2 linked regions of the Xenopus tropicalis genome follow. The protein of the gene in region 2 purifies or fractionates together with the protein of the main gene of each other region. This does not show direct contact. Links are inferred from orthologs where the notes say so. Each region holds a gene or a part of one and is shown on either strand. Other genes may lie near its edges.

Evidence for each region.
Region 1: the proteins of pold3 (region 2) and sprtn purify together in Homo sapiens (affinity purification with mass spectrometry; 3 studies listed by BioGRID, with this or other methods). This does not show direct contact. The link is inferred for Xenopus tropicalis from reciprocal best matches to the Homo sapiens genes POLD3 and SPRTN.

Annotation. Positions count from the first base shown.
Region 1 is NC_030681.2:57,897,934-57,903,162, forward strand, and holds the start of sprtn (sprT-like domain-containing protein Spartan), read right to left. Parts: upstream 3,230-5,229; 5' UTR 3,220-3,229; coding exon 3,077-3,219; intron 531-3,076; coding exon 431-530; intron 1-430. UniProt on the Homo sapiens protein: DNA-dependent metalloendopeptidase that mediates the proteolytic cleavage of covalent DNA-protein cross-links (DPCs) during DNA synthesis, thereby playing a key role in maintaining genomic integrity.
Region 2 is NC_030678.2:175,001,463-175,005,972, forward strand, and holds part of pold3 (DNA polymerase delta subunit 3), read left to right. Parts: intron 1-773; coding exon 774-876; intron 877-1,812; coding exon 1,813-1,852; intron 1,853-2,037; coding exon 2,038-2,170; intron 2,171-2,753; coding exon 2,754-2,976; coding exon of another isoform or gene 2,977-3,006; intron 3,007-4,288; coding exon of another isoform or gene 4,289-4,364; intron 4,365-4,510. UniProt on the Homo sapiens protein: Accessory component of both the DNA polymerase delta complex and the DNA polymerase zeta complex.

The DNA.
Region 1 (5,229 bases), on a different chromosome or scaffold from region 2:
TACCGCTGTTTACAATGGTTTGGTACGAAAATTTCGTGACTTTCGGATCGCCAATACGATATTATCGTGACTAATACGATTTTTTCGTAAGCATTTTCGGGATATTTGCGATCTTCAGAAATTTTCATTTCCAATCCGAATTTTTCCCATTCAGGATTAACTCTTTATTAGCCTTTCCTTTAAGGAAATATGATTGCCATTTTTTAGGCATTTATCCTATTTGTTGTTCCAGTATTGAAATTACACAAAAATTTTGCATATTTTAAAAGCGTAGGTTGTCCCTGAAAAAACAATATATAGAAAACAACAAGTCCCCCCCTAGAAAATGTCCCTAAATTAAAAGAGCACAACATTTTTAATATATACATACCAAAGGTGTGTATTTCTGTTGGAAGTGAAAAGGGTAAAAACATCACCATATTAAACTTACCTGTACTAGATCTTTCCTTGGTCTTAACTTCAAAAGGGGCTCACTAAGTCGAATAGAACATAATCCGCCTCTCCCTTCATAACTGCAGACTCCAGCACATCTTTTTCAAGAAAGACAAATATAAATAATGTTGAAATACTCAAATAGGCTTATATTATAACAAAATGCAGAGTAAAAAGTGGTGTAAACTCTGGATGTTGATATGACAAAATAAGGGCAAAGACATTTGTATAACTAACTGTACCCAGGTTTAGCGTCATACACACTCTAAAACACAAACCCACACACATTTTTGGGGGGAGTTGTACACACAACACACACTTTCCCTCTAAGGAAAAACATATTTTGCTGGCTATGGTATAGTTTATATAAACAACGCTGCTGTGTGCTCATGGGCCAGACAAAAAAAACGAGAAAAGGCACAGGTTACATAGAAGTTAACAGATAAGCTCTGGGAAATACAGTGGTATTTTATCTACTATGTAACCTGTGCTTTTTTTCCAGCTGCCCCCCATGGATATACAGCAGCTTTGTTTGTATAAACTGTAGTACTGTTTCTGAAGCAAACACAAAATTTTTACCAGTGCAGGGCAACAGTACATTATTTTTTAATTACTTTTAAACATTTTCATTGTTTGGTGTTACTGTTCCTTTAACTAATCATTTCCCACAGGAAATGCCCCCAAAAGTGACAAAGAGTGAATAAATCACTAACTGCAACTGAAATGCAAAATTCTGCTGACCTCCTCTTATTCACAGAGAATCTAAAAATTACACTCTAACCGGTTTTACCTCTCCTTCTTATGAATGGCAGCTGGAAACATTCCCCTGTTCTGGTCTTTACCCAGTCTCTGCTCTGTCGCAGCCATGTTTTCCACCCATATAACTATCTGCATAATAAAACCTTGTTCCTTAAGCCACTGTACCTTTTTGTGCACCCTGGAAAACCGAACAGCATGTTCCTTCAACTTGCCATAAGGGAAACTTGTCTGCCTTACTTGTTCCCAGAAGAAAATACAGTGGTGCAGAATGAGGGAAATAAATGTTGTGCCAGCCCCACCTCTTCCTAATGATTATGCCCCCTGCCATGCTTCAGTCCAGGCAAATAAAAATGATGCTAAGTTTAATAAAAAAATGTTTTTTTGATACTATAGCACGAGAGGTGGGAAAGGAAGCAGAGTTTGGCGGCCAAGTAAAAAAAGAAAATAGATGAAAAGTGATGACTGTCAAAAACCACCTGGGGAAAACACTGCAATTGCCCCATCACATGGAGGGGGCTACACATCAGGGTTAGGGGTGGGGAATATTACCCCCCACATTAAGTACTACAGTCAGTTTCCCCCTTTAAAGTTCACTTTATCTGGGTCTTTCCTCATGTACTGCTGCACGGTGCTGCACTTGACATTTTTTTTGTCAGTTTTGCTTAGGGATGCACCAAACCCACTTTTTTGAGTTCAGCCGAACCAACCCCAACAGATTCGGGCGAATACCGAACCAAATCTGAATTAGCATACGTTAATTAGGATAGGTAAGGGTTAAAAAACAGGGCACGCTACATGAGCGGCGAAAATTTTTCCCCCTAACATTTAACCCTTCCACGTGCTAAATAGCATATTCTAATTTCTGCTAATTAGGATTCAGTTCAGCCAGAACCCTGCCAAAAAGGGCTGAATATCAAACCGAAAGGGCTGAATATCAAACCTGGATTTGGTGCATCCCTAATTTTGCTACTTGAATGTCATATTCCCTAGACTGTGACACCCCCATCCATCACTGATGACTTTACCATAACCATTGCCTGGAACTTATTCTACTGCCATCCATTCAACCAGAGTCTCCCAATCTCTCTGAATTTAAACAAACATGTTTCTACAGAAGAATGCATTCATTCATCCTAGCATTCATTCATGATACAATAATACATGATACAAGACCTACAGCCTTACTAGTGCACGAAGCAGCATATTTTTTTACAATACAGTAAAAACACAGAGAGGGTAGACACTGCAATAAATGTTTCAAGGATTAAGTGCCATCTACTAAGGGTGGCAATACACGTAGCAACCATATCTGGCGATTCAAATCTGAATCGTCAGATATGGAGGTAGAATCAATAGAAATTCAACCTCCTTCTGCCGATTCAGGCTTGAACGTAGATTTTGCTCGGGTGCGTTTAATGGCGTCCAAACAAAATCTTTTAACTTGGCCGATCGCTGAGTCGACCGATATCCGCAGCCTTTTGGGTCACCTCGTGGAGCTGCCATTCACGCACTGAATATCGTACATAACTAGGTTTCATACGATATCATCGGTGAGTATATGGCCAGCTCTACAGACTGGGGAGGAAGTAGGTCTGTGCCCCATATAGAATACCATTTAGATTGTAAACTCTATGCTGTTGCCACTAGGGTTGCCACCTTTTCTGGAAAAAATAGGTCTTTCCATATTTATACCATTGGCAGCAAGCATCACATTTATCAGCCAGGTCAGTAAAATACTGCCCAGGGTTGTCTAACTAACTGCAAAACTAAAATTACTTTGCTATGTGGTGCAATAACAGCAGCTGCTATTAGCTAAGATAGTAAGAAAATACATATCGATTCAGAAATAAATAATTTAAGTGGGAAACAAATAAAACTGACTTACAGCGTCATCCTTGCGCTCCACTTTACTTCTATACCAGACAACTGTCCCCAGAAAAAAGTGTCATTGAACTCCAGAAATAATGCACGAATATCAGGGTTTGGGTCCAGAAGTTCCCAAGTTGGATCAACCACTGACAACTGCATGACGCCCAACAGTCCCGGAAAAGTCCGGCGGCACCAAAAGCTTCCTTCGCTCCAGCTGAACGGCAACAAACGGAACAAGTCTCTTCTCGCGAGACTGTGACGTCTAACAGTGACGCTGCGGTTAGGAGCTTTGGAGAGTGACAGGATTCGTTACGTTGATGTTGCAGAAGGGTAGGTGCTGCCAAGAGGCGATGGATGTGCGTGGCATTCTGCGGACGTTCATTAACAATTTTAAAATGTCTCTGCTCTAAAGAGCCACCCCTGCCATAGTTTGTCTAGAACTAATAATTCATTGTTTATTTGCTGTCTTGAACACTTGTACCACTTTTTTTTTTTGATGGTGCAGGCAATAGCCAAAGAGCTGCTAACAGAGTCTTTGCTCCCAACAGTTTATCAAAAGGCATTTGTGTTTTGTTCAGTTTCTACTTTTGCAGGGGAAGATAAGTGCTCACAGTTATAGGTTCAACTTGTGCCAACAATTCCTGCCACATGGAGCCTCTTCTTCAGATCCATACTGGGATAAAGAAACAGGCTGTGGCGTTTCAAATACACAGGAGCCCAAACAGCCCCCCTTCAGCCCAATAAATAATGGTTGCTATGGCATCTTACATCAGCCCATCTGTTATTTGCCAGAATCCACACATTGCCAATCCATGCCTGTTCTTGGTTGAACAAAAAAAAAAGCCAGACCACATTAAGTCTTCTTTAGTATTTTGTAGTCTACAGGTGCCACAGTATTTTGTACAAAAAAGGGCCAGATTTTCTGAATTCAGGAGAAGACAATGGGTGAAATTGAACCAAATCTTTTTTTTTTTAATTTATGTGAAATCAAAGACCTGATTTTTCACAATTTAGGGATAAGAAATGGCTATTTTAAGAGAAAACAATAGGTGAAACCAACCAAGGGTACTCTTGAGTTTTTTCAGAGGGTCTCAGTGGGGGTTTTTGTGCATTTTAGTGACAGAACAAGGGCCATGTAAAGGTCCCCATACACGGGCCGATACTAGCTGCCGATATCGGTCCCTTAGACCGATTCGGCAGCTAATCGGCCCGTGTATGGGCACTGCTGACAGGCCTGCCCGACCAATATCTGGCCTGAAATCTCCTGGATTCTGACGATATTGCCCACCCGTAGGTGGGGATATCGGGAGAAGATCAGCTCGCTTGGCGATGTGGCCAGATTGGCCGTATATGGGGACCTTAAGGCTCTGATGGGGTTTGATCTTGATTGCTGGCTGATCTCCCTTACCATTGGGTCAGGAGAGCAGCCAGCAAGAGCTTATTTCTCATTTAGGGTGAAAACATACAGGTCCTTTTCAAAAAATTAGCATATTGTGATAAAGTTCATTATTTTCTGTAATGTACTGATAAACATTAGACTTTCATATATTTTAGATTCATTACACACAACTGAAGTAGTTCAAGCCTTTTCTTGTTTTAATATTGATGATTGTGGCATACAGCTCATGAAAACCCAAAATTCCTATCTCAAAAAATTAGCATATCATGAAAAGGTTCTCTAAATGAGCTATTAACCTAATCATCTGAATCAACAAATTAACTCTAAAAACCTGCAAAAGATTCCTGAGGCTTTTAAAAACTCCCAGCCTGGTTCATTACTCAAAACCGCAATCATGGGTAAGACTGCCGACCTGACTGCTGTCCAGAAGGCCATCATTGACACCCTCAAGCAAGAGGGTAAGACACAAAAAGAAATTTCTGAACAAATAGGCTGTTCCCAGAGTGCTGTATCAAGGCACCTCAGTGGGAAGTCTGTGGGAAGGAAAAAGTGTGGCAGAAAACGCTGCACAACGAGAAGAGGTGACTGGGCACTGAGGAAGATTGTGGAGAAGGACCGATTCCAGCCCTTGGGGGACCTGCGGAAGCAGTGGACTGAGTCTGGAGTAGAAACATCCAGAGCCACCGTGTACAGGCGCGTGCAGGAAATGGGCTACAGGTGCCGCATTCCCCAGGTCAAGCCACTTTTGAACCAGAAACAGCGGCAGAAGC
Region 2 (4,510 bases):
TGGAGTGATATCCCCCCCCCCTCACCCCCAGCAGCCGATCAGCAGAACAATGGGAAGGGAGCAAGATAGCAGCTCCCAGTAGGTATCAGAATAGCACTCAATAGTAAGAAATCCAAGTCCGGCTTGGGACTCCTCCAGTTACATGGGAGTAGGAGAAACAATAGGTTAGCTGAAAGCAGTTCTAATGTGTAGCGCTGGCTGAAAGCTCAGACTCAGGCACACTTTACTGCTGCGCTGCAAGTTGGAGTGATATCCCCCCCCCCTCACCCCCAGCAGCCGATCAGCAGAACAATGGGAAGGGAGCAAGATAGCAGCTCCCAGTAGGTATCAGAATAGCACTCAATAGTAAGAAATCCAAGTCCGGCTTGGGACTCCTCCAGTTACATGGGAGTAGGAGAAACAATAGGTTAGCTGAAAGCAGTTCTAATGTGTAGCGCTGGCTGAAAGCTCAGACTCAGGCACACTTTACTGCTGCGCTGCAAGTTGGAATGATATCCCCCCCCTCACCCCCAGCAGCCGATCAGCAGAACAATGGGAAGGGAGCAAGATAGCAGCTCCCAGTAGGTATCAGAATAGCACTCAATAGTAAGAAATCCAAGTCTGGCTTGGGACTCCTCCAGTTACATGGGAGTAGGAGAAACAATATGTTACAATATGTATATTGGGGGGGGGGGGGTTTAAGGGGGTAACAACCCCCTGCATTATCATATCCTGCATATATCTCTGTGCTGAGCCCCTGGGGGTGTCTCTCTCACGTACCTGTGCCCCCGCAGGATGCTGTACGACTACGTGACAAGGAAGCGGAAGGAAAATGGCAACGCACAGGTGCACGTTACTTACCTGGTGACCGGGAAATGTCTGCAGGACGGTTACCCTGTGAGTATGGGCAGCGCGTGTAATGGGCGGGTATTGGCCACTCCCCCTCTCACTGGCACAGAGATCTTTGGGGTTCAAGCCCTACTTTTCTATCTGCTTTTGGGTCAGGAGACCGTGATTATGTGGAAGTGTTCTCATTGGGCCGCAGGTATTGGAATATTTTTCTTCCAAATTTTTGCAGCTTTCAAATGGGGGTCACTGACCCCGGCAGCCAAACCCTATTGCTCTGTGAGGCTCCAGTTTTATTGTTATTGTTACTTTTTATTCCTTATCTTTCTATTCAGCCCCTCCCCTATTCATATACCAGTCTCTCATTCAAACCACTTCCTGGTTGCTAAGGTAATTCGGACCCTAGCAACCAGATAGCTGCTGAAACTCCAAACTGGAGAGCTGCTGAATTAAATTGAAATAACTACACGTAATAAAAAATGTAGACCAATTGCAAATCGTCTTAGGATATTACTCTCTACATCCTACTAACAGTTAATGCAGGTGAAAAACCCCTTTAAAATTGTGACTTTTCATCACTTGAACACGTGAGCTGACAATCTGTCTCCGCTCTCTGCGCATTAACCCCTTTGTGACCTAATTTGGATTTGTTTTGGGATTTGGCCAAATCTTTCAGGCAGGATTTGGTGTTTGGGCAAATTCCCACATAGTGGATTCAGTTCAGGGCGCAGTGTCCTAGTTACCCAGTCCCTAGTGGGCAGTTTTGTTCACTCCCCGCCCCTGTAAGTGACCAATGGCCAAGTCTGGGCCCCGACACAACAAAAAGTCTACGTAGAACATATATCCCACAGCGCCTGGAGAGCCGGACTGATCGGGAACGTTCAATAAATCTAGGCCAAGTGTGTCATTTCCTGTTCCAGTGCTGTTATTCGCTGTCGCTGGTGCATTGTGGGATTGCGGCTAACGCTCTGCCTTTTCCTCTTTCAGTTTCACAAAGTGGCCGTAGTGAAGGAGGAGAAGCTTGCAGGTAAGTGGGTATCAGTTTCAGCCTCGGGCCTACAGCTAAACCCCACTTGTTAGGCCGGGGCTGGCAGTCGGGTCATAATGGGGCCTGTGCAGTCCTACAGGATGTTACCCCCCCCCCATAAGGGCAGCCAAACTGATCCCAAAGTTCAGCCTAAATCCTTATTGTTTTTTCTCTCTGTCCCACAGCCACTAAGTCTAAGCTTGCGGAGGTTGCCAGCGTCCATGTGTATAGCATCCAGAAAGCGGCTCTGAAGGACTGCGCTCCCCTCTTCAACACTGACTATGATATCATCAAGAACAACCTGCACAACTGCAACAAGTACGTGTGTCCTCTCCCCGGGGCTACAGATACATAGAAACATTGGGGTAACTCACCCTGCTATAGTTCCAGGGGTACCCAGGGCACAAATAAGCACTCACCCCAAATCCCCCCCTAACTGGCCTTCAGGCTGGGCCCCCTTAGCCCATAACAAGGTTACAGATATATAGAAACATTGGGGTAACAGTCACCCCGCTATAGTTCCAGGGGTACCCAGGGCACAAATAAGCACTCACCCCAAATCCCCCCCTAACTGGCCTTCAGGCTGGGCCCCCTTAGCCCATAACAAGGTTACAGATATATAGAAACATTGGGGTAACAGTCACCCCGCTATAGTTCCAGGGGTACCCAGGGCACAAATAAGCACTCACCCCAAATCCCCCCCTAACTGGCCTTCAGGCTGGGCCCCCTTAGCCCATAACAAGGTTACAGATATATAGAAACATTGGGGTAACAGTCACCCTGCTATAGTTCCAGGGGTACCCATGAATGCTTAGGGGTACAGGGGTGTATCTGCCCCTGGGGGGGGTATATACAGACAGGTATACAGTCGGTTTCCCATTGAATCCCTATGTGCCTGTAGGTTTAGTGCCATTCAGTGCCCAGAGGCCGTGCCCAGGTCCCCAGAGGAAATCTCCCAGCTCCTAAAAGCAAACGCCCAACCAACCGGAGAAGCAAATGTTACAGCGAAACCTGCAATCAACGGGCACATTGCTGCCCCCGCCCCAAAGCCCACATCCAAGCAGCCTAAAGGCATTATGGGAATGTTTTCCCAACAAGCTGTCAAACAGCAGGAAACGCAGAAGGAAAGCAAAGCCGATGCCAAGGAACCAGCAGTAAGTTCTCTCTGATATGTCTGTGCTGCTTGTGCTCTCAATCTTCTATGTGCAATTGCCTGTGTACTTATACTGCTAGGGGTGCTAGCACCCATAACTTACTTATGCCCTGAGCTATCAGGGTGTGCAGCCAATAGAAACAATTGGATCTGGTATTTGGGGGGAGAAGATGCTGCACTGTGGGGTTATTGCATTTAAAATATTCACTATCATACTGCATAAAGGGCAAATAAACCCGTTTGTTCCAGCAATATTTGGATCAGATAGGATCCTTGGTATCCAGGCAGACTTAATTCAAATGTCAATGTCGCCAAGCAACCTAAGGCACAAAATTTATTGATCATATTATTTTGTTGCTGCTCTGAAATCTGAATATTCCAATAATAGTTCTTTTCAGAATCTTTTGGAATCAATAAAGGTACAGCAGCTGCAGTTCCCAAAATGGACAGCAGGGGTCATCCAAACCGCACTATATTGCATAGACTGGCACTATACCGGTAGTTACTCATTGAGCAATAATAAGGTTATTTAGATATAAAATAGCGCAACAGTACAAGACGGGGCCCCCATGCATATAACATAGAGCATTAAGCTAGAGCCTTGAGTTTTAGTTCTACTTTAAAGGGGATACAAACCCTGCTGCCCAGCGCGGCTCAACCCAACGTTACTCAGTTGTTACTGGGCTACAAATCCCACAATAATGTAACATATAATGAAGCTTGGGGCATGCTGGGAGCTGTAGTCCAGCAACATCAGGGCTGTATTCTTAAAGCAATATTGCCCAATAAAACTTTCCCCCAAATCCCCACAGCCAGCGACTGCTTTAACATGCGAAAAATCCTCCAATGAGAATCCCAGCTGATGTGAGTAAATCCGGCTCCCTGTTCTCTGTTCCTGCAATTGGAGTTGGGAGCAATAAGCACAGTTTCCCAGCACTGAACAAGTCTGTCCCTTTATCCCCATGTCTGATTCCTGTGCCATATAATGAGGGGAGAAAATGCCATCATTATCTCTATATGTAAGGTACCAGCAAGGGGCCTGACACAGTGCTGGGAATCAGCATTCTCACTGGGCAGTTCTTTTGCATTTATAATCAACTTATTTATCAGTACAATTCTCATTGGGGAATTTCCTTGCATCTATAATGATGGTTTTTGGCAGCTTCTATAGCAACACTAGGGGGCGCCGTGGGGCAGAGTCATGGCTGGGTTTACTTAGCCTTTAAGCTGAAAGTCTGATTTCGGACGCCCCGTTTTACCTGCTGAACTCTCTCCCCGTGTAGGCGACGGCATCGAGTGGCAAAGCCCCTGCCAAGGCGCAGACTGTGAACAACTTCTTTGGGAAAGCGGCTTCATTAAGTGAGTTGGGATCCACGTGCTAGGCCACACGTAGGCAAGTTATGGCAGAACTACAACTCTCACATCTGACAGTGCAGTGCTGGAAGTTGTAGTTCTGCGTCAGAAGAGAATGAATGTTTCCTTAACCCTTTAATAAGCTCTCCAGC